Oryzias latipes: one gene and its partner. The protein of the gene in region 1 purifies or fractionates together with the protein of each later gene. This does not show direct contact. Links are inferred from orthologs where the notes say so. Each region holds a gene or a part of one and is shown on either strand. Other genes may lie near its edges. The genes, in order: fbxw5 and cul1.

Evidence for each region.
Region 2: the proteins of fbxw5 (region 1) and cul1 purify together in Homo sapiens (affinity purification with western blotting; 9 studies listed by BioGRID and IntAct, with this or other methods). This does not show direct contact. The link is inferred for Oryzias latipes from reciprocal best matches to the Homo sapiens genes FBXW5 and CUL1.

Annotation. Positions count from the first base shown.
Region 1 is NC_019870.2:12,258,369-12,274,225, forward strand, and holds fbxw5 (F-box/WD repeat-containing protein 5), read left to right. Parts: upstream 1-5,785; 5' UTR 5,786-6,008; intron 6,009-8,438; 5' UTR 8,439-8,447; coding exon 8,448-8,634; intron 8,635-8,735; coding exon 8,736-8,893; intron 8,894-9,121; coding exon 9,122-9,305; intron 9,306-10,083; coding exon 10,084-10,232; intron 10,233-10,315; coding exon 10,316-10,654; intron 10,655-10,733; coding exon 10,734-10,917; intron 10,918-10,994; coding exon 10,995-11,139; intron 11,140-11,245; coding exon 11,246-11,458; intron 11,459-12,291; coding exon 12,292-12,577; 3' UTR 12,578-14,284; downstream 14,285-15,857. Other genes in the region: prdm12 (PR domain zinc finger protein 12), read left to right, coding at 1-30, 117-272, 554-668, 1,045-1,496. UniProt on the Homo sapiens protein: Substrate recognition component of both SCF (SKP1-CUL1-F-box protein) and DCX (DDB1-CUL4-X-box) E3 ubiquitin-protein ligase complexes.
Region 2 is NC_019878.2:3,216,255-3,232,095, reverse strand, and holds the start of cul1 (cullin-1), read right to left. Parts: upstream 10,340-15,841; 5' UTR 10,183-10,339; intron 1-10,182. Other genes in the region: uncharacterized protein LOC111946577, read right to left, coding at 11,740-11,784, 11,978-12,054, 12,136-12,219, 12,301-12,359, 13,675-14,069. UniProt on the Homo sapiens protein: Core component of multiple cullin-RING-based SCF (SKP1-CUL1-F-box protein) E3 ubiquitin-protein ligase complexes, which mediate the ubiquitination of proteins involved in cell cycle progression, signal transduction and transcription.

The DNA of each region.
Region 1 (15,857 bases):
CTACTCAAGAACAACAACCTCATGTGGGAGGTGAGCAACCACAGTCTGACTCCAACATGTACGGTTTTCTGTAAAACTTGTTTCATTGAAATTGTGTATTTGTTCTTTGAGCTCAGGTGTTCAACGAAGACGGAACGGTGCGTTACTTCATCGATGCCAGCCAGGAGGACCAGCGCAGCTGGATGACTTACATCAAGTGCGCCCGGAATGAGCAGGAGCAGAATCTGGAGGTGGTGCAAATCGGCAGCAGCATCTTCTACAAGGCTGTGGAGGTGAGAATTCCTCAAGAAAAAACTTTCAGTTCCATTTCGTTCTGGCTTCAAAAGTGCAGACTTTGCGCTATTTCTGCTCAAATGACTGAACAAGCACTGTCATGGATGGAAGGAAAGGCGCTTCCAAACTGCAGTATTTCCGTGTTGCTTTTTTCCCCTTAAATGTGCAACTTCCAGTGCTGGCCTTCAAAAACGGAAACCCAAAGAACAGAAGGCCTCAAAGAACCTGTTGCGCAAAAACGCACAAAATAAATAAAACAATACTTTTCCCTTGTTCTTAGACTATTCCACCAGACCAGGAGCTTCTTGTCTGGTATGGAAACACACACAACACCTTCTTGGGAATTCCCGGAGTTCCAGGAACTGATGAAGAACATCACAAGAAAAACAGAAATGGTGAGAACAACCAACCCTTCATCTGTCATAATGACTAAAACGTATTTTTGACGCACTAAACTATCCATATTTTAACTCTTGAAATATTTGACAGTTTTTACTCCTCCCAAGTATGGGTGAAAGCATCTCTACCATGTCGGATCATTTAATGTTTGATTTATAAAAAAACATGTTTCCTGTTTCTCTTGTCTAATGCGCATGTGAACCAATAAAAAGTTGGAAGAAATCTTGTTTTATTTCACTTATATGTCTGTTAAAATCAGAAATCTGTGGTTAGGGTTTGTTTTTGCTTTCTAGAATCCAAGAAAATACAAACAACTTGACTAATCCTGCATGAAAAACGTTGCAGATTTATAACACTCTTTTTTTCCCCCAGACGACTCTCACGCCCTTGATGGATCTTCCTCCTCCTGCTCTCCCTCTTCTTCCTCCTCCTTCTCCTCCAACACCACCACCAGTGGGCGGATGCGCTGCGTCATTTGCCACCGCGGCTTCAACTCCCGCAGCAACCTGCGCTCTCACATGCGCATCCACACTTTGGACAAGCCGTTCGTCTGCCGCTTCTGCAACCGCCGCTTCAGCCAGTCGTCCACACTGCGCAATCACGTGCGCTTACACACCGGCGAGCGGCCTTACAAGTGCCACGTGTGTCAGAGCGCGTACTCGCAGCTTGCGGGCCTCAGGGCGCACCAGAAGAGCGCGCGGCACAAGCCGGCGTCGCCCGGCGTGGCAGACGCGGCGCCTCAAGCGTCTCCTCCTCCCCAGCAGATGACTGCCAGGGCGCACCAGATGCCTCTGGTGCGGCACATCCCCACTGTGGTGCTATGATGATTGTCACACGCGCGGAACGACGTTGCACTTTAGGCCCAGCCCAGGACTGTATCTGCAGCCGTAAAGCGTGCTCTTAAAATCCCTTCATGATGACTGTAAATTTCAGATTCCTGCTATTTTTGTTCGGTCGTGGCCAAATTACATCGTGGAAAAAGTTGATTTTTGTATTTTGGAAGCCTAAATATTTGGTCAAGATGTCTTTACTTTTAGTGACGTCATACTTCGGTTCAGGCTGACAGTTTTACATCCAGTAATCTTTCAGCTTCATCTCATCCCACCAGCTCAGGCCTGTCCTCCGTTTTGTACAGTTCCAGTTGTCACTAACATTGACTTGGAAGAAATATGGAATTCTAAAGCTGCATTTGTACATGTGAATGTAAATACCGTTGTTGATTGAAACAAATTAAAGATGCAATATTGTAAAAAAAAAATCTTTCTCCTGCACTTTTCATCCAATGTATTTCCCCTATAAAAAACATGACAGTATGATAACTCGGATAACTTCACTTGATCCTTGAAGTAGATTTCAAACATCCCAAATGAGAAAATATGTTGAATGTTTTTTAGTCTTGAATTTGTGTTATTAAAACGCATTGGGAAACTTTAATCTTTTAGCAAGATTTTTTTTTAAAATGCGTCCCTCATGAGAAAAAAAATCCCCCCAAAATTTGAATTATTTCCCGATGCAGATTATTTAAGATCATAAACAAACTTTTATGGCTTTAATTTTCAACAAAGCAAACAAGACATATTGCAGAGCAGTATGAAAATGTGTTTAGACAAGCATCTCCAACTGCTTTTTATGAAGCTACTCTTTGACAAGTAAAGCAATTTGTTGATTTTCTTTAATTTTCTAGGTTTTCTTTGCAATTAAAGAAAACTAATGTAACTGTTTTTAAATTGAAAATTCAAGTAGTGACACTGATTATTATATGATTGAGTTTTTTTAAAGGAATTTAGTGATCAAAGACAGATTTAAGGTGTTGAAAATGTTTTTGACTATCTAATAGACATATAAAAAAATATAAACGTGAAAACATTGTGAAAAATTATTAAAATTGTGAGGTTTGTCATTAAAAAACTGAAAATCAGTCTTTATCCCACTATGTGAGAAGGACTGTCAGGACTACAGTTTAAATTTTAAAAGTGTATCAAAGTAATTCAGAATCACTTTTTATAAAATTGCTTTACTTAAATTACTCAAATATTACAGATGGGGATTTCAATGTGAAAAGTTTTGTTAATTTTTTTCATCTTCACTGCGTAGAAAAAATGTAAAAAAAAGAAATTCTCCAAAAAAACAATACTAAAAGTTCTGAAAAAATGATTTTTTTCAAAGAAATTATTTGCAAAATAAAGGACATCAAAATAACATTTGCAATATTATTCCAAGTGCAGTTCCAGTAAAACACTGAAATTCAACTTTCTGATTTACACAGATATTTACTTCGACGCACGACAGCGGGAGGAGTTGTGGATATATTGTTATTCAGAATGATTACTGTTCATCATTTTTTATTATTTTGATTTATTTTGATGTTACTTTTCATCATTATTAAGAAAACTGATGAATAGCTCATTAACTTGGAATTGTCAGCGATAGGGCATAATTGTTTGATGCAGTTGCATCTTATCTCCACGAGATGGCGTCAGACAACAGATAAAAGCTAGACAAGCAGCTAGGTCCTCTGATGGAGGGACAAGTTACACATTTAGGTGAAAAAGACAATCACACAATCTGAGTTTTTGTTTCCTTTTTTTCTTTTTTCAAACAAATTTGTGCATTAAGGATGTAAGGCTTACAGTATCCAGATGAATGAGTCGCATAGTGCACTTATATGCTTTCAGACTCTATCCACCTTCCAAATAGGAAGTTTTCAGATAGGTCGTCATTATTTTAAGTGCAGTGCAACATATATCAGATGTACAGCCATTTTTGAAATCCTAAGTGGGAAGGCATTCTTTTGTCAATGGAGATTTGCTTTTATCCATCCTTCTGAGGGCTGTAACCAGAAGCTTTTCCATTTCCACAGACTGTCCACACCGATTCTCCTGCACAACAGGAGAAGTCATTAGGTCATAGGTTCTTTAAACTTAAATTAATTATTTTACATATGAAAATCACCTTTACACTGGTAACCAGTTGATGTTTTCTCTTTCCCAGAGGATCCACAGCAAGAGCATACCCACACAGCTGCATTGTGCAGAGCTGAAAAAGGCCAGGAAGGGTCTGGATGTTTAATCAGCCACACTGAGACGATGCAGGAACAGGTAATCTGATCCTGTTCTTAGATTTCACAATTTTTAAAACAGCATTTAATGCTTCAAAATAGATTTTCTTAAATCCGTTAAATGTATACTGTAAACTTAATGGCTTGCCTAAAGCTGATACAGTTTGTAAAAATTGAGCTCAACAAATACTATTTTTGCAACAGAACAAATATGTTTCAGAACTCACCGGAAAATATTAGTCACAGCATGGCTCCTCACATTAAAATGTCTTTTTCGTGGTCTGTATGGAGATGCAAGTCCTCAATCAGTTATATGTCTTCCTTTTTAGTGCACCAAACCCAGAACACAGTGACACTGCAGTGTATCAGTCACAGAATCTCCTGTTATCCACTTACAGATGTTGATGCGCTGAACCAAGAGCTGCCACACGCGTAAGGTGTACAGTTACAACTTAGTGCTCCAATAGGTTTATTAAACATGAATGACAACATTGGTCCGGAGAAAAAAAAAGGAAAACCAGGTGACAATTTATTGTGACTTCATTGATGTGTTACAAGTTAAAAAGATCTGCTTTTTGTCTTTCTTGAAGAAGTTAATCAGTGATTGTACTTTTTTGCGGTGCTGTAAATACACTCGCTGGTCGCTTTATTAGGAACACCTGTCTAACTGCTCATTAACATAAATTTCTAATCAGCCAATCACATGGCAGCAACTCAATGCCTTTAAGCATGTGGACATTGTCAAGATGATCTGCTGCACCAAGCATCAGCATGGGGAAGAAAGATTATTACGTGACTTTGAATGCTGGTCTTAGTCTTTAAGAAACTGCCAATCTACTGGGATTTCCATCCACAGCCATATCTACAGTTCACAGAGAATGGTTTGAACAAGAGACAATATCCAGTGAGTGACAGTTCTGTGGGTGGAAATGCCTTGTTGATGCCAGAGGTCAGAGGAGAATCGCCAGACTGGTTTCAGCTGATAGAAAGGCAACAGTAATTCAAATAAGCACTGGTTACAACTGAGGTCTTCAACCAAGAGCATATCTGACGGCACAACACATCCAACCTGTAGACAGAGTAGCTACAGCAGCAGAAGACCACACCAGGTGGCACTCCTGTCTGCTAAGAAGAAGAAACTGAGGCTCACCAAAATTGGACAATAGAAGATTAGAAAAATGATGCCTTGTCTGATTATTCTGGATTTCTGCTGCCACATTCAGATTGTGGGGTCAGAATTTGCCTTCAATAACATGAAGGCATGAATCCATCTTACCTTGTATCAACGGTTCAGGCTGTTGGTGGTGTATTCATGTGGGGTACATTTTTTTGCACACTTTGGGCCTCTTAGTACCAATTGAGCATGAATACAATGCCACAACCTTCCTGAGTATTGTTGCTGACCATATCCATCCCTTTATGACCACAGTGTAACGTCTTCTTATGGTGACTTCCAGCAGAATCATCTCAGACTGGTTTCTGGAACAAAATAATGAGTTCACTGGACTCAAATGGCCTCCCCTGTCACCAAATCTCAACCCAACAGATCACCTTTGGGATGTGGTAGAACGGGAGATTGGCAGCATGGATGTTCAACCAACAAATCTGCAGCAACTACGGGATGCTATCATGTCAATATGGATCAGACTCTCAGTTTTGAAGGCAAAAGGGGGTCCAACCTGGTACTAGCATGGTGTACCCAATGAAGTGGCTGTGAGTGTAGATTAACACAATAAAAGACCATGTAGAAGTCTGACAACATGATTTAAAAATGATTTAATTTTAATGATTTAAAAATTTAAAGTGCAGGTCTAGTTCCACTTAAAATGTGACAAGGGTGAACATTACAAAAATAATAAAATAAAATGCATCATTTGTTCCTCTTGGGTCGAGTAAAGCCTAACTTGTGCATTAATGTTCTTATTCAAATATATTTCACATGGGAAGAAAAAACTTCATAAAAACTTTATTTATAAAAAGCACGTCAAATAAATATGTGAATGCCGAGGGGAATCATGGGAAGAAATAAACATCAGTTTATAGAATCCTTAATACAGCAACTATAAAGAAAGTAAAACAAAAAAAAAACAAAATAAAATAAAAAGGAACTAACTTCAAGCAGCGAAAAGATTGAATCGATTGAGTTGGTCTTTCCGCATCGATGCCTCTGCTATCTGCTTGTTAAGCTCCGCTGTGTTGCTGGGCGATTGTTTTCATTTTGTGCGGTTAGCCTTCAACGCAGCCTAAATGTTTCTCTTCAAAAAACTTTGATCAGCAGGTGAGTCACATTTCACATCGCTTGTTTTTTAATTGAACGCAAACTAACTCGTCAACTCGTGAGATGACACTGCCTGTTTGGGAGCCAAACCGCGTCTTGTTGCGACAATTTAGCCTCGTTAGCTAAAAGTTGAGACAAATGTCAGCTAGCAGCTAGTTAGCTCTTAACAAGTTAGCCGGTTTAACTAGCTAGATAGATATATTTGTTTGTTTTAGCTGCAAAGAAATATCGTAAATCGATTAGAAACGCGCTAAAATTGATATATATCCGAGTAGTTCATGTTGACACATACGATAACCGATTTTGCTGTTGGTGTAAACAGGATAAGGATTCACCATTGAACTACATAGAAAAACAACTCTTCAGCAAAATATGTTGAGCCACACAAGCTATGAAGGAAAACGTTTAAGACATTAGTTATTGTTATTGTAGTTACATAAATAAATGGGGTAGGGGGAGGGAGAACACACTTTAAGAGTTCATATATTCATCTTTTTTATTTTTTATTAAGAGTTCCGTTTTGTTTTTGTTTTGGCTTAGGACGCGACTTTCTGAAGAACTAGAAGAAGTAGAAAAATTGACTCCCAAAATTTAAAGTTTGTCCAAAACCGGATTAAAAGAGAAAACTCTTATATGACAGTTAGTTACGTTTTGTTTAGCTGTTGCTTTTCAAACACGAACAACGAGTTTTATTTTTGGAACATTTATTGCCAAAACTGGCTACATTAGGAACGCTTAGATGATAGATCTACTGGCCCGAAAAGCAGCAAGATTTTATTTGTTCTTTAGCATCTAATAGTTGGGAAGTGCTCTGAATAGTTTCATTATGGCATGAGAATTAAACATTTTAAGTAATTATATATAGAGGACTGTAACCTTTAACAGTAAAAGAGCCATTTGGTCCAGTTTTTTACTCACCAAAACCCAACAAGAGCTGCAAAGTCTCACTTTGTTTAGAAAATACCCTTTATTTATGTTTTTGTAACCTTTAAGCCATTTACTAATAAAATGTAGTTTTTATGTATTTACAATAATTTAATTAAGACAGTGTGATATTTTTCCTATATATGAATATTTTACCGGTAATTTATTTTACTCTAGACAAATGCACATACGAGTTCCTTTCAAAATAAAACACACCTTGTTTAAATAAGATCCTTTTGCTGCAGCAAATTTACTTAAATTAAAAATGCAAGAAAGTAAAGTCAAACATGGATTTTATTTTTTATAATTATCTGTTTGGTGTTTCTTCATCCTTTTTCTCTTGAATATAAACATGACAACATTAGGGAGCCTCAGGTTGACGCCTGGTACTACAAAGTAGCATTTTTTTGTGATTTTTAAATATCAATTATTTTTGATAGTTTTGGATAGGGTACTTAAAAATACGTTTGCTGAAATGTTTATAGATATACCCAAATGTGCCATGATTAATAGCAAAGGGAAAGGTTTATAAGGAGAGATTGATACAAAGAAAATTATTAGGATTATTTAGTAAGTTGATGCAAACTTTAAAGTACTGCTTTTATTGAAAGTTAAAGGCCCATTAGTTGTCATACACGTACCTTGGTGTGTGACATTTGTTCTCTGCATTTTACCCATCCCTTTGGGCAGCAGTGAGCTGCAGACACAGCTGTGCTCTGGATTTAACCCAAATCCAGCCCTTCATGCTGATGTACCGCAGCTCCTTCATTCCAACCGCTGTTGGACTGGACAACTAAACAGTCTTACAACAGATGCAATAATGGTTTATTCCTGACAAAAACATTCAATGCTCTACTGCTTTTTTCTTTAGTTCCGGGGCTTTTCATTTTCTCCGTCAGTTCATTACAGTGTTTATAATGAGAGTTTTTGAAGAATTGTATTTTATTTAATGTTGTTTTTACCTTACCTGTGATTGTTTTACCCATTTTATTTTTCCTTGCACCTTAATGCTTGATCCCCAGAGCTGCTGTAACAATTGAATTTCCCCACAGCAGGATCAATAAAGTTCATCTTATCTTACGAGTGTAAAGCATACCCTATTTTTAGTCTTTGGTACAACTCCACAGTAGATTTCAACTTACAACCTTCCTGTCTCAGGGCAGAAACTGTACCACAAGGCCACTGAATTGGTTGGTTAGTTTCAAATCTTTAAATTAACAGAGAATAAAGGCTTCATTCGGTTGCAATAAAACCATTTTGTTTAATTAAAAGTCAGCTTGTGGTCTTTATTAGCAGAAGCATGGCTTTGGTTCAGCTCAGTAAATTTCACAACACTACATGTTATTTCTGAATGTGGAGAAAGAGATCTGCTGCAGAGCTTTGGAGAAAAGCCAAGCTGAGTGGAAAGAAATGAATAGGAACAAGTTACGTACTTAAAGTGTGTGTGTTCTTGTGACTCAGAAGCAAACAGCCATAAAGCTAACATAAAGTACTCGTGTGTTTCAGGATGTTAGGATGGAGGGCTGTCTACTTCTGCCCGACAGCTTGGTTTTGGAGATCTTCTTGCGTCTGTCTCACACTGCCGTGCTGAGAGCTGGTCTGACCTGCAGACAGTGGCAGGCCGTCTCCAGAGATGAGTTCCTGTGGAGGGAGCTGTTCTACAACTACTACCGGATACCCCGCTCTGTACCTCGACACCCCTGTAAATACTTTGTGTTTTTCTAGGAAGCATTTCAACTAAAATGTTCTAACTTTTTTTTCCTCAAAGATACACGTTTAAAGTAACTTTGATTCTGTGTGCAGCGGCTTTTTCCTGGTACAGGGAGTTCAAGCGCCTCTATGACTGTATCCCCTGTGTGGAAGTTCAGACGCTTAGAGAGCACAGCGACCAGGTTCTACACTTAGCTTTTTCTCATAGAGGTCACCGCTTCTCCTCCTGTTCCAAAGACTGCACAGTTAAGGTAGGATGATGTCACTTTTATGTTGGCTTCCTTTTATTTTCTGTCTCCCAAAGTGAGCTGTGACTGTTTGATCCTAAAAAAAGTAACAAAACTATTAAACTTCACGACAGAAGATGCGTTTTGTAACTTGATTAGAAAAGAGACACTGTTAGTTTCCATAAAAAACTCCTTTACAAGATAAATCAAAGCGATCCACTTTTTTGTTTTAAACCCGTCGTATTCTTGCAGCTGTGGGACACGGAGAGGCCAGATGGAGTTATTTCACTGGTACACAGCTCAAGCATGCGCCAGTTCAACTGGGGCTACACCCAGTTCTCCCAGTTCAACGCTGACGACAGCCTGCTGTTGGTTTCTGGAGTCTATCTGGGCCCTCACCACTCTTCGTCAGGGGAAATCGCCGTCATAAGCATGGGTATGAATTTAAAAAAGTGTTTTCTACATTTATCTGGAGGATTGATTTCAGATTTCACCTTGGTTACAAATAATCTTTTTCCCCCACCATAATGTATTTGTGATTATTTTTAAAGACTCCCTCTAAAAATCGTATTTTTGACCTTTTTCTGATGATGGTGGACATATGTTGGGAAAATAAGCTTCAAGTTGCATTTCTGAGTATTTCTTTATGCAAATTGTTGTGATTCAGGTGCAGACAAAAAAAAATCCCTGCTTGATGCCGCTTTGTTGAGGTGTAGAAAATGCACTGACAGGGTGGGCCACAAGCTGTCTGGTCTGCCCTGGAACAAGGAGGGGAAGGGGGGCGGGGTTGCTCCACGGCAACTGTCCTGCCCACAACTCAAATTTCTACTGAACTACTGCCGCTCTGCAGAAACTATGTCCTAGAAAATTATACAGGTTTTTTGATTTAGGCGAAAAACAGCATAATCATAATAAAAAAAAAGACACTGGGAACACTGGGAAAAAACCCCAAAGATGATCAGAGGAATCTTTAAGCAAATATAACAAAAAATGTAAACTCAGAATGAGTAACATGTATGAAATCAATCTAAACTTGTTACATCTAACTGAAATACAATATTATGTCGCTTCCAGCATTTTCAGGATGACAGTCAAGCACAAAAAAACAATAGAACTATTTTAGGCCGATTAATTTTTTTATTTTTTCATGGAAAGCAAATTGTAGAGGTATGAGATTTGTTGCTCATCCGTCTCATTTCAATGCACCCATACAGAAAACTACACACTGTTGTCGCGGGTTAGAAACAAGCCGTATGATGTCTTTGGCTGCTGGTTAAACGAAACTCACCTGATCTCTGGAAACTTGCACTGGATCGGCAACATGACATCCTGCTCGGTTCTCTGGCTCAACAAAGCCTTCCAGGTGAGACAGAGCCAGAATTTTCTTTTAATATTCGTTCTTTGCTAAAGTCCAAACTACAAAATAACATATTTTTCTTCTTTTAGGACATCGAATCAGAAAACGTCAATGTGGTCAAGCGCCTCTTCAAGATCCAAAACATCAATGCCAGCACCATTCGTACGGTGATGGTGGCTCACTGCCATCGCCATGACAACCCAGACCTGCTGCTGGACTATGAGGCTCAGTCTCAGGCCAGGAGGCAGAAAGGAGAGCAGCATTCTCAGCACCAACCGCTCCTCTTCGACCTGGGAGCCTCTGGAAGTGAAGAGGAGCTGGAGGAAGGGGAGGAGGAAGAAGAAGACTATCATCGGGACTCCAGAGGTCACAGCTTCTCTGCCCGTCGTCCCCAATCCTCTGTCTCAAGCCTGGAGCAGGTTATTCATGTAAGATAAACGTTTAATGAAGGCGATTTTTGCCATATATTTTGGCTTGGAAGCCCATTCTTACTTATTTTTCTTTCAGAGTTGTAAAAATGTAAGAAGCAGTGATCGAGAAATCGAGTCCAAGGTCGCTCAGATGATGGGCCGAGTCCACACAAAGGCCCCTGAGTCCAGCCTCATCCAGTCCGCTGAGTCTGCGGAAGATGAAGACAAAACGTATTTACTGTTTACCACCGGCAGCCTTACATACTCTCCTCACCAGATCGGTAAGATTTCAAATACTCCAGAGTAAATAGATACATCTCAGTTTAACTCTCATGCGAGTTTTTTTCTCATCTTCTAGGCATTAAGAGAATCAAACCAGACCAGATGACAACTTCTGGTCCTGTTCTTGGGGAAGAGCGGAGCTCAGAGTTTTTTGATTCCCTGGACCATGTTATTGATATCCACGGCCACATCATTGGGATGGGATTGTCACCGGACCACAGGTAAAGATAATAAAACCTCTCAAGTGCATCCTCAGAACACAGAGCCACGCCATGAAGTAGGAAAACAGCAAATTCTGAGGCGTTCTCCTCTGCTGTCACTACTCAGGTACCTCTATGTGAACAGCCGGGCGTGGCCAGCGGGATGCGTCATCTCTGACCCCATGTCTCCGCCTCCCATCGCTGAAGAGATAGACCTTCACGTCATTGACCTGAAGAGCTTAAGGGAGGAAAGGAGGAGCCTGCGGGCTCACCGGGCCTTCACACCCAACGATGAGTGCTTCTTCATCTTCCTCGATGTCAGCAGAGACTTTGTTGCCAGGTCAGTTGCCATAAATCAGCTTTTCAGACAAACATGCTGGTCCTTTTAAAAAAAATGAATAGCTGGTTAAATGATTTATAACAATGCAAGAAGGAGTTTCCAATCACAACACCCCACGTTTTAATTTCCTGCAGAAAGAAACACCTCTGCCCTGTGGGTGGTCATGTTTCCAACTGTTGGGGACTTTTTCTGTTGAATATACCAAAAATAATTAAAAGAAAGCAAAATTTAGTCAACAATTTCCCAAAATAAAAAGACAAGAAAAGTATATCTTACTCATTTCATTCAACGCTTTTTTAACTTTTGTTTTACTTTAGAATTTGCGCCATTAATTCATCTTTAAAACAGTTTTTTGGGGTTAATGCCTAATATCAATCTTTTAGTACAACCACACATATATTTTTGATTATTTTACTCAATAATTCAACAAGAAACCCGAGATTTTGCAAAATTTGTCTTTTATTTTTCAGCAAAAATTGAGCTCAAACTATTTTAATGTTTTATAAAAAAGAGCAGAGACAAAGTTAAAATGAATAAATCCACACACAAAATAAATAAAAGGTCAAAAATGAGTGAAAATTGTCTTAAAAAAAAAACAAAGTTGGGGGGAAGGTTCATCAAATTTGCAAGGAATTATTCCAAAGGTATCAAAATTTGGTGTTATACTTGTTGTGTTTGTTTTAAACCAAAACATTCAAGGCTAAAATCATGCTTTGACTTAACTGTTAAATTGTTAAAGCGCTTTGAGCGTCTGGAAAAGCACAGATAAATCTAATCCATTATTATTATTAATTGACCTCCTGACGTTGTATCCCTGCGATCTCCATCTGTAGTGGAGCAGAGGACAAGCACGGCTACATCTGGGACCGACACTATAACATCTGTCTGGCCCGGCTGGCGCACGACGACGTTGTGAATTCGGTGGCGTTCAGCCCAGCGGATCAGGAGCTGCTGCTGTCCGCCAGCGACGACTCCACCATCAAGGTGTGGCGCTCGCCGCGGATGGTCCGTCTCGCTCAAGCGTCTCCTCGGAAGCTGAGGCACCGCAGCCTCCTGCCGTCGTGGCTCACCCGCACCAGAAACTCCACAGCCGCCGGCAGCGTGAACGGAAAACCCTGAGCCCGGGTGAAAATCTCTCTGGGAGGTATGGAGCAGGGTGAAGAAGCCTGGTCACCCCGCCGGCCAAACATACACTCCATGTTTGTGTACAGTGTGGTTACAACTTTGTGGTTTTGCTCGAGTCTCTGTAGTGACCTAACGCCATCAGGAGACGCGTGACTCAAGTCTATACACAAGGGGGCGCCGTTGCACCACACAATGGAGAAACCGCTACAGAAACTGCTGAAATGAAGCATAGCAGATGGAAACAGTCATGTGTTGCTGCCTAAATGCACATCACCAATGTCCCGAAGTGTCTCCTAAGGTCATCAGACTGATCTACAGAGGAAGCCACTGCTGCAGTACAAGTCATGCCAACTGCAGCCGTTTCTTTCTCCATCGTCCTCATTATTGGGCCGGTAACTGATTTATGTTTATTTTTGCCAATTCATAGAAAGATTTAATATGTTTCCCGATTAAAACTTTGCAAATCCTGATTCAAAAGAGTTAAAAAAAAAAAAAAAAAAAAGGAGAAAGCCAGCTTGAGCTGTATTCCCTGTGGTCTTCCTTGGTTTTACGGTTGTCAGGTTTTTATGCTTTTGTGGACCCGGAACTATTGTTCTTTGTAGATTTATCGAGTAATTTATTCCAAAAGATTTGTCCAGGAGTATTTGGCGTAAAGCATGACTGTATAAAAAGAGGTCTTTGTAGCTGGTTGTTACTCCCGTCGGTGTAATATGAAAGTGTATTTGTAAGCCTCCTTATGAGAAGAATTAGAATTTCTTCTAAGAAAGGAACCCCAGAAACTGATGCCTGCTTGACGGTCTAAATTAAAAAAGGGAGATGCCAGCGACTTTTCAACTGTCACTATTTATGTGCACAACAGGCGCTGGAACATTTAAAAACATAATATAAATGTGGCACAAGATTAAAGCATTAACTCTACACTTTGTTTTTTTCCTTTAACGCAGTTTGAGCTCTGATAAAACTCACCGTTTGAAACTTTTTTATGTTGTAACTCTCAAATTAACACAAAATGCAAAAAAACCCAGACTTTATCATGATAATAAATGAATAAAATGAGAATAACTATGATGTTTTAGGCTGCAAAGATGTAACACAGTTTTGTAAGGAAGGTAGAAGTGCATCCAGCAGCATATTCACCCACACAGTTCATGGAAGGAATGTCTTCAAACTTCACGTTTCAGGTCAAAGAAGCGTTTTTTAATGTCACGTTTGACTCTTTTGCTATAGAAACCCTTGAGCCCTTTAAAACGTGCAGCGTTATCAGTGACAATTGCAGCTGTGTGATGTGCTTCTTTGCCCAAAACATTCTCAAAAAAACCCATCTCTTAATGCGCGGGGGAGTAGAATATTTTAATGTTCTCTGCATTGGAGCATCTTTCTTTACATTCATGCTTCAAAATCTTCTCTCTCCCCCTTTTATGAAAGTAATCCTCTTTTATGAATATACATATTTAAAAATCCCTGAAGTAAAGATAAAGAAACCCTGCCACATTGATGTTTCTCTTTACTGTTGATCAGCTTTTAGGTTTGTAGGACATGTTTTTAGATGAGTCTGCATTATTTGGATGTCTCCGATGCCACATTAAGACAAAAAGAAAATCATTTGTGTACCTCAGGTCTGAAAATGTCTGTTTCTAACTGCCGAATTTTCCAGTTTCTGCAAGTCGATGTCCTCACTGAATAAAAGCTCTTTGAATTAAATGTGTTCATTATTGTTTAAACAACTCAAATTTTATTTGGAGCTGAATTTAAAAAGAAAAAAAAAAAATCAAACAAATCCCATTCCCAATTAATTTCTGTAATATTTCTCAGGTAAAATAAATAGCTTTTGCATTCAATTGAAATTTAAGAATTTATTTTAATAAGAAGAAATCTTTATTTAAAGTCACTAGTTGTTTAAAAATATTTTTTTCATATTCCCTAAAGGAAGTAAATGTGACAAAGTAATATTTCATCAAACTGCATTGAGCCAGAAATTAGTTGTAACTGATGAATTCACTTTTTGAAGTGACATCCAGGTCTCCTCTGCTTGTAGTTTTTAGTTATCACTATGATGGAATTCTGGATAGATTTACAATAACCCTCATCTTTAAATCTGTTGTATTTGACTGTTTTAAAGAGAAACAAAAAGATTTTTTGAGTCCAGACTAAATAAGACGGTAGGAGATGCTCATAGTGGACATTTGTCTCCTCACTTGATTGAGGTTTTAAATTTGAAAGATAATAATCCAAAAACTGGTTTGTACATGAAGTGCTTCATCCTTTCATTTTTGACTTGGCAGTTTCTGTTAATTTTAGATGTTCTTGAAATGATGCAGGACGTGTTTTCACTTTTCTTTATGGAAAATTCTTAAGATAATTTCCAAAATTCGGGTTTCAAAGAAGTTTTGCAGTTTTTTTTTTTAATTTCTTATTGCTTTCCTTAGGTAATTAATGCAATCAATGTTTGAAAAAACATGTTTTCATAGTGTGCTCTACCAAAAACATAAATCCTCTTAATGTATCCATATGCTGCTATGGTAATAACTTTTGTAATGTAGACTGTTCACTAATACGTTCATTTTCATTTCTAGCAAAAGTTTCAGGCATTACCTCAATTCTGCCCCATCTAAGGTTGGGTTTCCCTTGAGTCACTTCTGTTCAACCGAATGACTGCAAGCGTCCGTGTCATTGCTGCATTGTTCACATGATGAGTAAGGGGTCTTAACGTTTCTCAAATCGGATCTTTTACCGAGTCATTTTGTTTCATTTCATGAACAGTTCATGGTGTATGGCTCTGTGAACGCTGCTAATGTGCTGGAAAGTACAACCGCAAGAAAAAGTAGCCAGAACATGACGTAGTGAGTAACCTTTGACTGAAAGTTAAAGGTTAAGTCAGATTACAAACTGTTTTCAGGAACCAAAAAACCTTGGAAAGTCAGTTCTGAGCAGTGTTTTGCTGTAGCATTAAAGAAACACACGTGCTTCATTCACATGCAGCTGGGTTGTTTTTAATTATAGTGATCAGCAGCCGTCCACATATCCTTAGCTCAGACAAAACAAGTGCTTAACTTAGATCTGATCTTTGGGTTGAATGGAGGGAGGTTCCCCCAAAGCACAAAGAATACATTTCGTTGCAAAAGCTTCAGAGAACTGAAACTCAGCCAACTATGGGGACAACACCCTGCTGTCAGTAAATGCAGTTCCTAGAGAAGTATGTGAACCTTTGGTTTCAATAACTGGTTTAACCTCCTTTGTCGTTGCTTTTTATACAGCTGTTTCTGTTTTTTGTATG
Region 2 (15,841 bases), on another chromosome or scaffold:
AAGAGCGTTCATGCTGTTGAGATCACTGTATATTTTGTTTGTATGAAAGCAGGTCAATGAGACGTTCAGTCAAGAAGATGAGGAACTATAATGGAGATATTTACAGGACAAGGCTTCAAAAATATGAGAAAACATCAGTGAAATGTAACTGTGTGGATGAGAGCATTGAACCTCACTATGTTGATGTTTGCGTTCACAATTATTGGTGCTGAAAACTCAGTAACCTTGAAATGTTGCTGTGTGAAAGCAGCCTAACAGTGTGCAGAAGGCAGGTGGATGAGTAAAACTGCTGTGTACATGTAGGCAGCGTTGCTATATTTGGAAGTACCAGGAGGCAATGCCGGTCTCTGGCCATTCCCAGCCATTAGGGCTGGAGACTCGGGACATGTGACACAAATGGAGGAGGGGGGAGGTTGCAGGAGCTGCTGCCTTCAGTTCCTAGAAAGACTGACGATGAAGACATTTGAGTGACTTCAGTGATGTGGCAGCTGTTCATCAGGTCGTGACTGTAAGAATGTGAGGAAGGCAACTGCTGATATTTGTTTTTTCTTTTAAAAGCTAAAGAAGAGGTTTTTGCTCAGGCCATGTTCCTGCAGCTGATATCAACTATTTTTAGACATTCATAAATCATGTTCAGAGACAAATCTTACCAGAAGCAGCCTTCTTATATACAGTAGCCACTTCTGAGGAGATTGATAATTCTTTTGTTATATAATTCTGCAACTTTATTGTAAATAACAACTAAAGTCAGAAAAAAACAGAATTATCCTAAGAATTACCACTTTTCTATGGATTGGAACAGAACTTGATTTTAGTGAAGACATTAAATAATAAATCAAGCTTAATTTATCAAACACATCTTATAAAATAAACTTGGGTATGCAGTCACTACTAAGGAGAAAAACTACACAAGTGTTATGTTTAAAAACGTACAACCCAGAAACAAAAAGGATGTGCTTTTTTCCCTTTTTTTAATGTAAAGCAAGAGTACCCACTGCAGGAATAATCCTCAGCACTGCAATCGCTCAGCCCAGACACTGCAGTATTTTCGACTTGTGCTTCTCTGAGCAACACCCTGGCAGAGATGATAGAGAGGCACTGTGGGCAGTGAGGCAGAGGAGAAGCCTCAGGAACACCAAGGCTTGGATCAGGCCTTCAGTCAGAAATATCAGCTGTCCGCTCCACACCCAACTTCTGTCTCCAGCATCCATCCTCCCACAAAGCACGGCATCTGCATCCACTGCTCTGCCCCAACACAAACTCCCAATAACCACATATATACATAGAACTTTCAAACCAAGTTAGTTGATGCCAAAATTCTGGTCTTTGTGTCCTTTTAATACAGATGCAAGCCTAAGATGCATAACTTGACATAACTAATGTCCTGCCCACATCCATGCAGCCTTCTGCAGGGGACAAAAATGCACCCACACACTGGCAGTTTGTTACAACATGGCTGCCATGTACGTCTCCACGTCCATCTTTGCCAACAGTCCCGCTCCAGGCCAGAGGTGAATTTCTCATGAACTCCTACCGCTCTACAGAAACTATGTCCTAGAAAACGCCACAGGTTTTTAGATTTTGGCTAAAAACTGCATCATCATACTGAAAAGACCACTGGGAACACTTGTACGATAATACAAAAGATGATCAGAGTGGAACTTCAGAAGGTATCGTTTAATTCACAAGGGAACTAAATACCGTATTTTCCGGACTATAAGTCGCCCTTTTTTCATAGTTTGGCAAGGGGTGCGACTTATACTCCGCAGCGACTTATATTAGAAATAATTTGAAATAAATACATTGTTAACCCTCCTGTTATGTTCATTTGTGAGGAACAGAGATGATGTTACTGGGTCAATTTGATGTATGAGGTATGTTAAGTGTTAAGAGTATGTTAAGTGACTCAGAGAAACAGCAAACTTTTTTTACAGTAAGATCTTGAAGGCTAACAACATAATATTCTATTTTCCAATGATTTCATAGATTCAGAAATGCAATAAAAATGACAACTGTTTCTACAAATACAGGATGAAAACAGAGTATTAGTTGGCCAATGATGCTTCATGAAAGGAATAAATAAATAAGTTTGAAAAAAATTACTGTGAAATTATTAGATAAACAGTCTGCTATGATTGTGTCATATAAGGTTGTGAAAGTTAAAATGCGACTTATAGTCCAGTGCGACTTATCTGTGTTTTTTTCTACTTTATAATGCATTTTTGGGCTGGTGCGACTTATACTCCGGTGCGACTTATAGTCCGGAAAATACGGTATGTTTTTGCCACAAAAACAATGACCAAAAAAAAAGGAGTGATCTGGTTTATGAATCATACGCTTTACATTTTTGGGAATAACAGCTTTTAAAAAATTATTTTCTTCAAATTAAAATTTAAAGTTAAGCTAAATGATGCATTCTAAAAATGGAAACGAGACAGATGATTTTATACACAAGAAACATTTCACATCATCCAGTATGTGATGGCAGATTAGGTTTGCAAGGAGGAAATTCAATAAAAAGCAGTTAATTCCATGATTTGCAGAAAAAAACTACATTGTTTTATAATCTGCAACATGGAGAATCTCTAAACTCCATGTGGAGTAGAAGAAGAAAACATTAAAAGAGCTAGCCACAGCCAGTCATCTTGGCCATTTTAAAGCTGACTTTAAAATTTCTATAATACTCTAGAGAATTATTTATTATACTGACATTAAAGGTGTAACAATTAATTTGAACAACAATTTGATTTAAATTAGCTAGTTTGTGGTTGACGGTACGATTCATAGTTTTATTAGTTGATTTTGGACGATCCGATTCACTGACCTACAATGGATCTAGTACAACTTTAGCCAAAATTTAAACCAGTGTGTAAAAAGGGAACATTCTTAGTGCACTGTCACGTCTTTGCTAAATTCAAAAGTTGTTTCCACACATTGGACTGGAATGATTGACTGATCCGTTTTTGCTGTCATCACATGTGTGTTGTCCGCTGTGATGCACTTGGTTGTTTTTACATTATAGTAATATTAACCTATCGTGTCTCAACCCAACTGGTATTTTACAAGATTGACAGAATCTTGACTTTTTTTTTATAAATGGTATAGGTCAATTTGATTAACAACTTGCCTCAGACAGTTGGATCTAGAATCTTAATTGATTAATTAAGTCAATAAATCATTACACCCCTAACTGACATATATATACGATTTTAGGATAATACGTTATCTTGATCAAAGCGGATGTACCCAGAAGGCTGTTGTACTGAAAAAGCTCAGACGGTCTGATTTACAGGGGAACCGAACAATTTCAATGCAACTTCAGACCTGCTTCCATCTCTGCCCATCCAACACAGCCCTAATGTACTCACAAAGTCAAGTCTACATAGGGTGTTTTTGCAGTTGTCCTCGCAACTTAGGATACTTTACCCACCAAAAAGTCATCAAACTTGAACACTGAAGGATTTAGTTCGTCTCTTATGAGTCTAATCTCTGGTTGTAAGAATGCTGTCCTTCACCGGATCGCTCAGATCAGATTTCAGATTCCCACACCAAGAGACACCACACATGTACTCCCCAGTATCTGACCTGAAATCAGTTACACAGCCCGGTCATAAGGACCAACAGAGTCATGTTGTGAAACTAGAATCTCATTCCTCTTGATCATCATGAGCACCACGTCCAGGACTGTACTTCTTCATCACGGCACTGTAAAACATTTTCATTTTCAAGGAACTAATAAAATGAAATGACATTTTATGACTAAAGAAACAAACCACATAAAGACAGTTAATTTTGAAGCACTTCCAGCATAACTGCACATTTTTATTTTATCCTACTAAAATATATAGATGAAAAAAAAACTGAAAAAGGTAAAGTTGTTTTAAAATTTGAAGCAGCAATCCTCAGTTATTGACATTTCCTTAATAAAAATTTAAGTACATTATTTAGTACATTAGAATGTTTTCAGGTCATACTAAGGGTTTTCTTCCAATAAAAATACATGTTATTTTTAAATAGAGAAAACCCAGAATAAGAAGATTTGGTAGAAAAAAGTGGCACAAAACCCCTAAGCAGAGCTTTAAGAAAATCTAAGTTTTTTAGTCATTTATTTTAGGAGTTTTTTGTCAGTAGATAAATGTGTTCAATGTATTTTAATTATTTCTATGATTGCACTTTCTGTAACTAGTTAACTTCTTTAGTTAACTAAATACTTTATTTGTAGGTTTTACTCTGAAGACAAAAAAAAAAGTAAAAAATTATCCGTAAAAGTCATAAATTGATTGCGCTGTCGTTTGCTCCTATTCATCACCAACATGTAAATAAAACCGCAGTCTGCTATGGAAACAAGGTAAAGTTTGTCTATCTTCATTCGAGCACGAAACAGCAAATCTAGTCCTCCATGCAAACAAGCAGCCTGACAGCTTTTTCACTTGAGTAAAAAACGTTTTAAAGGGACAGCAAAAACTTTTGGTTTTAAGAAGAAAGAATAAGATATTCTTAAGTCTATAACCAGCTAATAAAGACAGGTCAAACATTATCTTTTAGATAATAAAAAAGGTAACACAACTATTGCTGCGTAAATAATGCATTCATTGGATTTTCACTGCAGGATTTCGTTCTTCAGGGCAGCTGAACTTTAAAGGTTCATCTAGAAAACAATTTGCTGCTCATCCAAGTATCTTTAGTTTCAGCAGCTGATGGAGAATTCAGGTTATTTATGTGCTGACTGCTACAGAGTTGTTGCTAAAAGCAACTGGACGTCACATGAACAGATGCAAATGATTCAATGCTGATCAGGGCACTTGTTGGTGGGTCCATTGTTTATCTGTGGTGGATGAATATAATCATAGTCTGTTGGCCAAAATTTCAAAACAGGGCTGAACATGGGAAACAGGAAATGTTTCAAACTCCTACATCTGTTATGAGAAGATTTATCCATTTAAACATAGATGCTTTCTAACTTCCTATGTAAACCATCAGTCCTCTGTCCTAAATGCGGTTGTTGTCTTCAAAGGAGAGTTCTGTGTCTTTCAGTTGGATTGCTGAGTCCTGACTTAATGCTATGCCTCTTCTGTTCCGTGCCAGACTAAAGTGGCATCCAAGAACAGAAGCCTGTGATACCATGACCTGGATGACTGAGAGACCTCAGTCAATTTTGATTCTAAAGTTCAAGATTAATTTTAATGACACATCTTTTGTCATTTTTTAAATTTCCATCAAAAATAGTTTGATTCTGAAAAACAGCTTTCACTCCTTTACCAGCCAAATCTGCGAGAATGTATTCTGTTTATTTGCTGCTTAAATCAAATCAGTTCTGTTCATCTCCTATTTAAAATGGAGATTCAGTGACATAAAAACGAACAAATATTTGTTTACATAAGGAAAACTGTAAATAACCAGTATAAATGATGTGCACAGTAAATTTTTGATGACAGATGAACTGAGTAGTACCAGCAAACTCAATAAAATCTGCCATTTGTCCAACAGATTACGTTTCCAAAGGGTTTATTTATTTTCAAATGTAAATCTGACAATTTACACATATCTAATAATCATTTAGGTTAATATTGATTTTTGTATGTTTTTTTTCATGCAAAAACAGCTCTTAAGTTTGTTTCTGATGAAAAAAATATTAGTTTATGAAAAATAGTTTCACACTAGTTTTTTTAAATCCCCTGCTACGTTAAAAGATTTTACAAACAGTCAATTTTGGAATGAAAATTAAAAGACATACACCAATATTGAATTAAATTGTGTCTATTTGTAAATGATGTTATGAACTAGTGAATCACTATTGAATCCATTTAATACAATGGCTATGAGACCCAATCCTAATGATTCTAGATGGTGATTGATACACAGACAGCCAAAGCTCTCCTGCATTCAGTTTCCAGCACAGTTTCTTGGTCCTGTACCATGATGATGAGACTTTTCCTGAACAGGGTGGATGCAGGGAGTGGTATAATAACCAGTCCAGGGTAGGAAGAGGCAGAGCAGCGCTCGTGGGGGGGAAAAAAACTCAGCTCAGTAAATCTGATTACCCTCGTCACCGTGTGTCCTGGCCAGACTCAACAACCTAATACCCTATATTTGGAGCATGCATGTAAACCACAGCCAAAAACGACTCAGAAACCAGCCAGGGCAGTGCCGACTCACAACAGGCAAACATCTCAGGCTTCATTGAGAGATTACTCTTGTTCCTTACAATAACGTGTAACCTAAATTATGGATGATTATGTCTCTATTGGGTAATAAAAGACTTTTTCTTTTATGTGTTTCATTACCTTCAATTTAAACCTACATTTATGCGTGCTGTGTAAAGACTATTGAAACGACAGAAATTGGTTACAGCAGACACGGTTGAATAAAAAAGGTGAATAAAGGTGTTTGGAAAAGAGAGAATTTAAAAGCAAGGAACAACTTCACAAATAAAGGATCAGCAAATAAGAAGAAATAGCAGTCTCCTCCCAACCAGAAACTTCAGAAGAGGCTGGATATCTACAAACTTCACAGAGCAGTTCGTGTTTCCCTTCACAACAGCCCATTGACCCAGCCAGTGTAGCTGCAGTATGTCTGTAAACAGACAGGATGGCCTTTTCATGGCTGCCACTCTGGCTGCGCATCTTAAATTTGATGTTTTTATGACTGACACAGAAAAGTTGTAGAACTGACTCATGAAAATGAATAAGTACTCGGCTGATCACACTGACTTACAAATGCAGAGCCACTCAAGTAAAAACTATAGAGGTGATGCGTGGAGAGCAAGTCAGCCAACAACATTCAGCATGTGCTGCACACATGCTGCTTGTAAACATCACTCAAGAACTCTCTTTGCTACAACTTTCTTTCACAAATGAAATACAAAAAACAGTTCAAAGCCTTAGAAAAACAGCAATTTGTTGTAAGACACACATAAAAAGGTAAGTAAACCTAAAAAGGCAGAAAATGCCAGCTGGCAGTCGGTGTAGGCAGTGTGTGTGTTGGTTTTAGATGAAGGAAGCTGATGCTGCTGACGAGAGTCTCCTCAAACTGACACATTCCACAGGAGAAGAAGAAGCAGATGTTCAGAAGGACAACAGATACTTCTTTGGCATTTTTTATCTCTATAAAAAGTTTTAAAAAGACATTATAAAGTTGGTTTGTTCTACATTCAGTTCCATCTACAGTTGAAACCAGAAGTTTATATATACCACATAAAAAAACACATGCATTTTTCTCACCGTCAGACATGAAATAAAAGTAAACTTTTCCTGTTTTAGGTCAATTACCATTAACAAAATTATTCCTATTTTCTAAATGTCAGAATAATGAGACTAGGGTTTAAGACATTTTTTTTATTACTTATTCAAAGTCAAAAGATCACATACGCAAAGATCACAATGCCTTTAAACAATTTGGGAAACCCCAGATGATGATGTCATCTCTGTGGAAGCATCAGATACGTTTATTGACAGCATTAGAGTTTATTAGAAACACACCTGTGGATATGTATTAGGGCACATTTAAAAACACTCTTGCTTGTTTGTAAAACATCATGGGACAGTTAAAAGCAATCAGTTGAGATATTAGGAAGACAATTGGGGATTTGCACAAGTCTGGTTCTTTCCTGGATGTATTTCCAGATGCCTGGAGGCGCCACGTTCATCTGTTCAGACAACGGTACGCAAGTATAGAATCATGGGAACGTCCAGCCATCATATCACTCAGGAAGGAGACGGGTTCCTTGTCCCAGAGATGAACGTACTTTGGTCCAATATGTCCAGAACAACCCAAGGACGAAGGCAAAAGATGTTGTAAAGACGCTGGCTGAAGATGGTAAGAATGTGACATTATCAACAGTGAAACGAGTGCTGTACAGACATGGGCTGAAAGGCTACTCTGCCAGGAAGAAGCCATTACTCCAAAAGAAACGTAGAAAAGCCAGATTCAAGTTTGCTAAAGCACACAAGGGTAAAAACTTTAATTTTTGGAGACCAAAATAGAACGGTTTGGCCACAATGACCATCGTTATGTTTGGAGGAAACATAAGCCTGGGAACACCACCCCAACTGTAAAACATGGGGGTGGTAGCATCATCTTGTGGGTTTGTTTTGCTGCTGGAGGGACTGGTGCACTTCACAAAATAGATGGCATCATGAGGGAAAGAACAGTAAGTGGAAATATTGAAGCAACATCTGAAGACGTCAGCCAGAAAGTTTGGGCACAAATGGATCTCCCAAAAGGACAATGACCTGAAGCATACTGCCAAACTGGTTACAAAGTGGCTTAGGGACAATAAAGTTTTGGAGCCTGGACCTAAATCCTATTGAAAATGTATGGTCAAAGCTGTAAAGGCGTGTACACACAAGGCCACCTACAAACTTGGCTCATTCACACCAGTCCTGTCAGGAGGAACGGGACAAAATTCCTACCAAAGCTTGTGAAAGGATATCCAAGAGGTTTGACCCAAGTACTGCAGTTTAATGGCAATAGTACCAAACACTAAGGAAATGTATGTTACCTTTTGACCTTGATAAAAGTAATAAAAACTTGTCTAAAAAAACAAAACCTAGTCTCATTATTCTGACATTTAGCAAATTGAAATAATTTTGTTAATTATAATTTACCTAAAACAGGAAAAGTGTACTTTAATGTCATGTCTGATGGTGAGAAAAAAAGCATGTGTTTTATTGTGGTGTATATACATTTTTGGTTTCAACTGTAAATTAATCCACGCATTACATACGATTCACTAAAAGTAAATAATCAAAACTCCACCTCCTTGAAATACAGAAAATTTATGCCAACCTGATCAAGCTTGGAAAAGCAATTTCAGAATACAATATCATACATACCATGATCTTTTTTGTTTATCGTTGAATAAGTAATCTATTGTCACTGGAAGTTCAAGCTATCAAATGTAAATGGGGAACACAACATCCCTAAATATACTTTTCCATATGACCAGTCAGAAAAAGTTTGAAACCTTAAAAAAAGAAAAAAATCTAGTTTGTTTTTGCAAAACAGCACCAAGTCTTTTCCATACAAAAGAACAATAACATCAAGGAAATATAAGCCAGTCTCTAGAAAAAGGCCTACATTTAAGTAAAAACGTTTGGTATTTGTTTTAATAATGCTTAATCAAATAATCCAGGGCAAGGAAGAGTGTGAAAGCCTTTCAAATTAAGATGTTTACAGTTCTTTCATGTGAATTTAAACTATTATTTCGGTCTCTAGTTATAACAATCCCATTTTTTAATTTAACAAAGTATCTGAAAAGAGCAAATATTTATTCATAAGCAAGAACATATGAAACAGATGTGGCTTCAGCTCAACTACAAGAGCAAAAACCACTTCTAACTTTGTCTTAATAAGAAACAATATTTTAAACAAAGTATTTAAAAGAAAAATTGCATTTACATGAAGAGGTGGACTTCTACACCCCATCATATGGAAGACTACCAACGAGTTTTCTCACCTGTCATAAAAACCTGTCAGGAAGTGATGAAGCGTTCATTCATTAGGGGGTGACAAGCCAGTGGTGTTTTAAACGGAAAACACCTAACAATGATCGTAATACTGACGTGGCTGGACACAAAGGCTGGGCTGTAAATTCAGTCTGGCATTCAACCCACACCTCGTCATCCTGGGCAGAGAAATAATGCTCAACGGCGCTGGAGTGTTTCAGGTTGGAGTCCGAACACGACACGGGAGGCGGACAGCGAGCGAAAACAATCCAACTAAATACGCTGATATCTAACAATTTACACTAAAGTTGACAACCACTGTTGTGATTATAGTTCAGTGTGCTACGACCGGAGTCTGACACTGCTACGCAACACCGCTAAGACTCATTAGCCGTCTCGGATTAGCTTGTTAGCCCGACTCACTGTTTGGCCCCTGTGTGAACAACTAGCCTTAGATTTACGTACGATACTTGATTTATACCGCCATTCCTTTAAATATATATGCTCCTTTTATTATATTTAATAAGAATCGTCTCTGTCGTGCCAGAAGGCATCAATCGAGTCCTAAGTGCCTTGTGTAAAATGGCAGCCTAGCTTCTTGGGCTCTTCAATAATGAGTCAGGAAAACACTTCGCTAACCGCTTAGCTTTAGCAGCTAGCGCAAAGCTAAGCTGGTTGTCGTTAGGAAAAAAAAACCACTAACAGTGAAAACTCAAAAACTAAAACGTCCTCTTACCATTTTTAGACTGTCGCTGTGGCTGTATAATCGCAGAAAGCGGTAATGTTCGGCCACGGAACGCGTCTGGCCCGGCGTCTTTCTGGTCAGTGGGTCTGCCTGGAGCGGGCTGCTAGCTGCGCTCGTTGTGCTGCTTCGTTCACACAAAGATCATCTCAACAGCCACCAGATCACGCCGCCTTCAGGTGCGCTCCGAAAGAAGGACGATCTGATGAAAAGGTCTCTCAAACTCGAAGATAGACGGCTCTTGTGAAAAACATCATAAAAATATGCATGTTAATTTGAAAAATAGTTGCCCATTAAAAAAAGTCAAATTTAACGTTTTTACGTTTCATATAATATAATTTGGACTAAACTAAATTAGCAGAGTACATCAATAATAATACTGTTATACTTGATCAAAAGTAGTTGATATGATTGTTAAAGACAGCTTTTACACTGTTGTTTAATCACAACACATTTCTTTACCACTTTAACAGCTTTGTAATATTTAATACTAGAAAACTTTATTGACCAAAGGGATATGAACGTGAACAGTATACTTGAAAATCCACCAAATCTGACAGTATTTAACCAAAATAAAGACTCTTATGTGCAGTTGTTTTTATTGTTTTTATTTATTATGCGAAACAAAAACGCTATAATTTACAGGGATTCAGTGAACGCAGCATTTGTGACGTATAAAACTACAAATATGGCGAATCATATGTTCTGGACATTTGGCGCATGCGTAGTTTGTTGTTTTAGTACCATAACGTACTTTTCAAATGTACTTCGATGGCAAAGTGGCACCTGTGACATTTAGTTTTATTTGCGTTCGATCTGTTTCTTAAACGCATTAACACAGATGTGACGCACTGAAACCAACCGTTTCCGGTTGATATACGTGCTGTTGGTTCATTAGGGTGTCACCATATTGACTGTATCTGTATCCTTCAATGATTTTGACACGATTGCTGTCAACTTCCTGTTAAATATTCCGTCAGCGAACTTAATGTTCTCTGAACGTAAAGTCCTGCCCTGCCACTGACGTGCCCTCATCACGCAGAGCGCGACCTCTGCTGGCCGACGGCAGAACAGCAGAAGCACAGTGTCAATCAGCTGCAAATGAAGAGGATTTTGAAAAGACACTGCATGTCTAAATATCACAATTTTTCTGACAATTAGAAACGAGTCAGTATTTTAGAAATAAAATAAAAATCACATGCAACAACAACAGCTAAACATAGAATATATCTAATAATGTCTTCCTGAGCACCTAAACACAAGAAAAACTGTGTCTAACTGTGTCCAAACAAAGCTTTAGCACCGTGTCAAAAACATATTTTATTGTTTTATGTTGCAGAATGTCATCAATACAAATGAACATAGATACCTGTGTATAAAATACAAAAACACTGCAAGCTAATTAACATGTCCAAAACAAAATACATGTGTGTGACTCATACAGTTGTGCAGAAGGACATGTTTTGTCAATAAGTAGCTGTATAGTTGCCTACAAATGTTTGATCTGAATGATAAGTTGAGCGGATCCAGAGAAGAAAGAAGATGCAATGGTCAGCTCGTCAGGACAGCTGCCTCCTCCACCACCTGCTTCTTCATCTGAAATAAGAGTCAAGATAGGAGAAGACACCTTCAGAAAAAGGGAGCTGATGGAGAGTGAAGCTGCAGCATCTGAACTTTAAGGAGTTTTTCCTCAGCAACTCTCCGTTGTTGGTGCCATTACACATGGATTTGCATTGTCATGCGTTTGCTGGGATTAAGACATCAAAAGCCCGAGTGCAAACCAGCAGACCTGTTTCTGTTTCCTCTTGGCTTGCATCATTTCCTGCTGCTGCTTCAGCCGTACTTCCTCCAGACTCATGCAGCCACCTGTGAAGACAGTATGAAGGGGTGCTGTCAGAGAGAACAGTTGACACCATGAACGTGTGGCGTTGGTCACGGCGCTCTCACCAACACTGCTGGGGTCGATGGACACATAGGTCATTGCTCTGCTGAGACGAAGCTCCTCCAAAGCAGCAAGCTCTGCCTCCGCCTCTACCCAGCCAAAAGTCATTCAGAATTGAATGACAAGCTGAGAGTTACAACAACGCAAACATGAACACAAAGAACACTCACTTTTCTGGATTTCCCTTCTCTTCTTTGGGTTTGGTGGAATGACGGTGAAGGCTTTGTTACTGAAATGGAAAACATCGAGTATTTACAACATTTTTTTGGTCTTGCTCATCATTTTACATTTGAATCGTATGAACTCCAAAGTGTTTTAAAGAACACAAACAAATGAAATCTGTTAGTTGTTTAGATATAAACAGAGTGATGCAAATGCAGTTTACATCATGAAGTAGATTTGAGTGACCAACTGATAAAAATCATCTGCATTTGTAGAATAATCTCTTCTTCATCTAATACATCAGATGAATTTGTTGTGTAACAGAACAAAGGTTGTTGGGTGAAGATTATCCAGGGAACTATTCAGTCTAACTTTAGATTTTAGCTCCACTGTCACATTTACACCGCAGATGTTGTGGCTGTGTAGACCTAAAAACACCAGTTTCTGAACAATGAGGATGATGATGATGAGTTTGTAATTATTAAAAACTTGAGTTTTTCTGCTTCTTTTCCTATTAAAAATGGGTTTACTATTTTTGGAGGGTTTGGGCATTTTCCCCTTATATCCACATCAAAGAGATGTTGGATCAAAATGAAAATTCAGCTATGAAAAGTTTCAGCGTTTTCTCTGGACATGAAGACACCTCACTTTTTACTAAATTCATTAGAGACCATGTTGAAGTTAGTTAGGATTAAATGTCTATAAAATTAAAAAAGACAGCTTAGACACAGACATACCAGAGGAGTTATAAAGATGTTGTCTCTGGTTGAAAACTCTATTTTGTAAAGATAATAAAAAGTGAGTGACATACATGCTTTGGCCTGCAGGTCAGTCATGTCAGCGGGTGGTAAAACGTGTGGGGATTAACCCGCTGCAGCAGATGGCCACACACAGCAGGACTGGCCCTGCATTTGCAACAAGGCGCTGCTCTGCAGTGCTGGGTGCACTCAGTCAGAATGAACTCTGTGCTGGCTGTCCTAATAAAGTCCTTTTTTTTTATTCCTTTTTTTTTTATCATAACACCCACATGGAGTTTAAATTAGATGCTTTACTGATGCTTCCCCGAACAAAAACTACAGACATTTCTGCTATGAGGTGTTTAAATTATGTTTTTGTGGAGCAATTTAACATTTAGTCCAACAGACAAATAAACACATCAGTTTGTTAGGAGAAATGAGACTGAAAGTGTAAAAAAAGTGTTGTGAAAAGTCTCGGAGGTAGTTCACCTGGATGTAAAGTCCTGTGTAGTTTCAGTCATGAGAAATTACATTATTTTGCACAGACATACTCCCGGCAGCAGAGAATCACATCTTTAGGTAAATGCTGTGAACCCCTGCTTCCCTGTCACACTGTTTTCCCCAGGTCCATCTTCACTGCCTCACCTCTGTATGAGTAGTTTTGCCTCTCTGACCCCCTTCTGCTCCTTCTGACGTGGGCACGCGCTCGTGGCAGCGCCTTGTCTCACGGAGCTTGTCGCCCTGCGCGTGTCCGGGTTAGTTCTGGACCCATTCTCTGTGGGTTTGGGAGCAGTGGACCTAGTTCTCCTTTCGCAGCTCGGCCTGACCTCCTCCCTCCTGTCGGCGGCCTTGTCGCACCTGCCGCGCGGCAGCTGCTGCGCGCTCCTCGGGCAGCTCGACGCGCGGTTTTTACGCACAGCGGCCGCTTTAGGTTTACTGTCTGCGGCGCCGGCTTCTGTCGCCCTTCCCGGTTTGTGTTTGTCAATGCTTTTCTTGGTTGCCTCCACTGGCTTCGCCTTGATAACCTTGGTAGATGGCATTTTCTCCTAAGGCGCAGCTTCGGGCTCAGATTTGCAGCAAAGTCTCGTCATCCTCGTCATCTGCTCCAACTATTAACTCAGTTCAATAGTTTAAGACGGAAAACCTTAACTTTTCCTCTGCAGGGATGTGGTTGTTAGGGAGTTTGTACCCTAGCAACCCCTGAAAAAAGTCTGACCCATAAAAGCCCAGCGCTTCTGGTTTGGACTTTCAAAGTAAACGGCCCCATTCATTAGACAGCAGTCACATTTAAAACTTTGAATTTCATTAATTGAAATCTGAAAATATCCCAAAACAAACAAAAAAGGAAGACATTTTGAAGGAAAACTGATAGAAAGGTTTTCCTTTTAGTCTATTTAATTACACAATTAACAAATAAATTACCAGTGAAATAGTGAAAAGTCAAAAAAGTGTATAAAAAACTCGTTAAACTGCTGCAAGTCTTGATTTTGTTTTTATAACTTGATGAATTTTAGATTCACAGAGCAAAGCATTTAGAACATCATCTCCATACATTTCATGTCTCTGCTTGCGGTCCTCAACTGTGTGATGTGTTTTTCCCTCCATCCATGTTTAAACTTAATTATTAGCTTTATTCCATTCGGGATCAATGGGTTGCTGGAGCCTATCCATCTGAAGGGTGAAAGCAGAGTGCAGTTCACCACAAACAACCACACAATCCGCACCTAATGGACAATTTAGATTCACCAATTAACCTATGAAGCATGTTTTGGACTGGAGGAACCCCGAGGCATTTACAAGGAGAGCATGCTCACTCCACACAGAGAGGACCCAGTTTGGGATCAAAATTAGAGAGTGATAACTGATACCGTGCAGCCTATGTGATCGTTTTCCCAAGAGCTTAAGATGATTTGTTTTGTTCCCACCATTCTTACCTTGTTCATGTATTATTTTTAAGTATCAGCAAACAACAATTAAGCAGGAGCTGTGCACTTGTGCTCAGTGGCCCTCATTTCACACTGCTCACGCTTGCTTTTCAACATAAATTTGTCCAGATCTGCAGGTATACCACTGCTGATATGGGATAGTAATTCCAGTAGAATCCCCAAAAACTATCCTGATAAATGTAAAATTAAAAATCCCATTCCAGAACTAAACATGAAGCATGTCAGGTCCTGTCTTGTTGAGGCCCCTGAGCCTGTTGCCTCCACACCACCATGTTCTGAGCTCGATTCTTTTATTCTGAAAAAACAGTTTCGTGTTTCCTGCTTGATGTTGCGTGAGCGACCTCCCGCAGATTACGCGGCGCCACGCAGCATAGTGTTGGTCCGTGCGCCTGTCTGTCCAACCACAGAGGCTCATCGGATTACTGACATGGTAATCTGTCAGGGTCACGTGACCAAACTCCGCCTGACAAAAGAGCATAATCATGCATGACTTCAGAGAGAAACGTGTTTATTGTTTGATTGATTATTAATTTCAATCTATTATTTCATATTTTTTTAAGTTTTTATTTTTCAAGTTTAAGCTTTCCCCCCTGTTTTCTAGTTAGTTCTTTCATAAAAGACTAATCTAACGCATCAGTAATTTAGTAAATGTTCAAAAACAGAAATCACATTAAAATGACTCTGAGCCCAATGAAACTGCAGAATCCAACAACGCCATTACCGCAGACAAACTCCAGTCAGAAGTGGTTTTGACTTGTTAAAATGCATTTAAATAAAAGAGAATGACTTCAAACAGAAATTCAAATGATTCAGGTTCTGTTTAACGTTTAACCAAATGTCAATGGTCAAAAGAGGAGCTAAAGAAA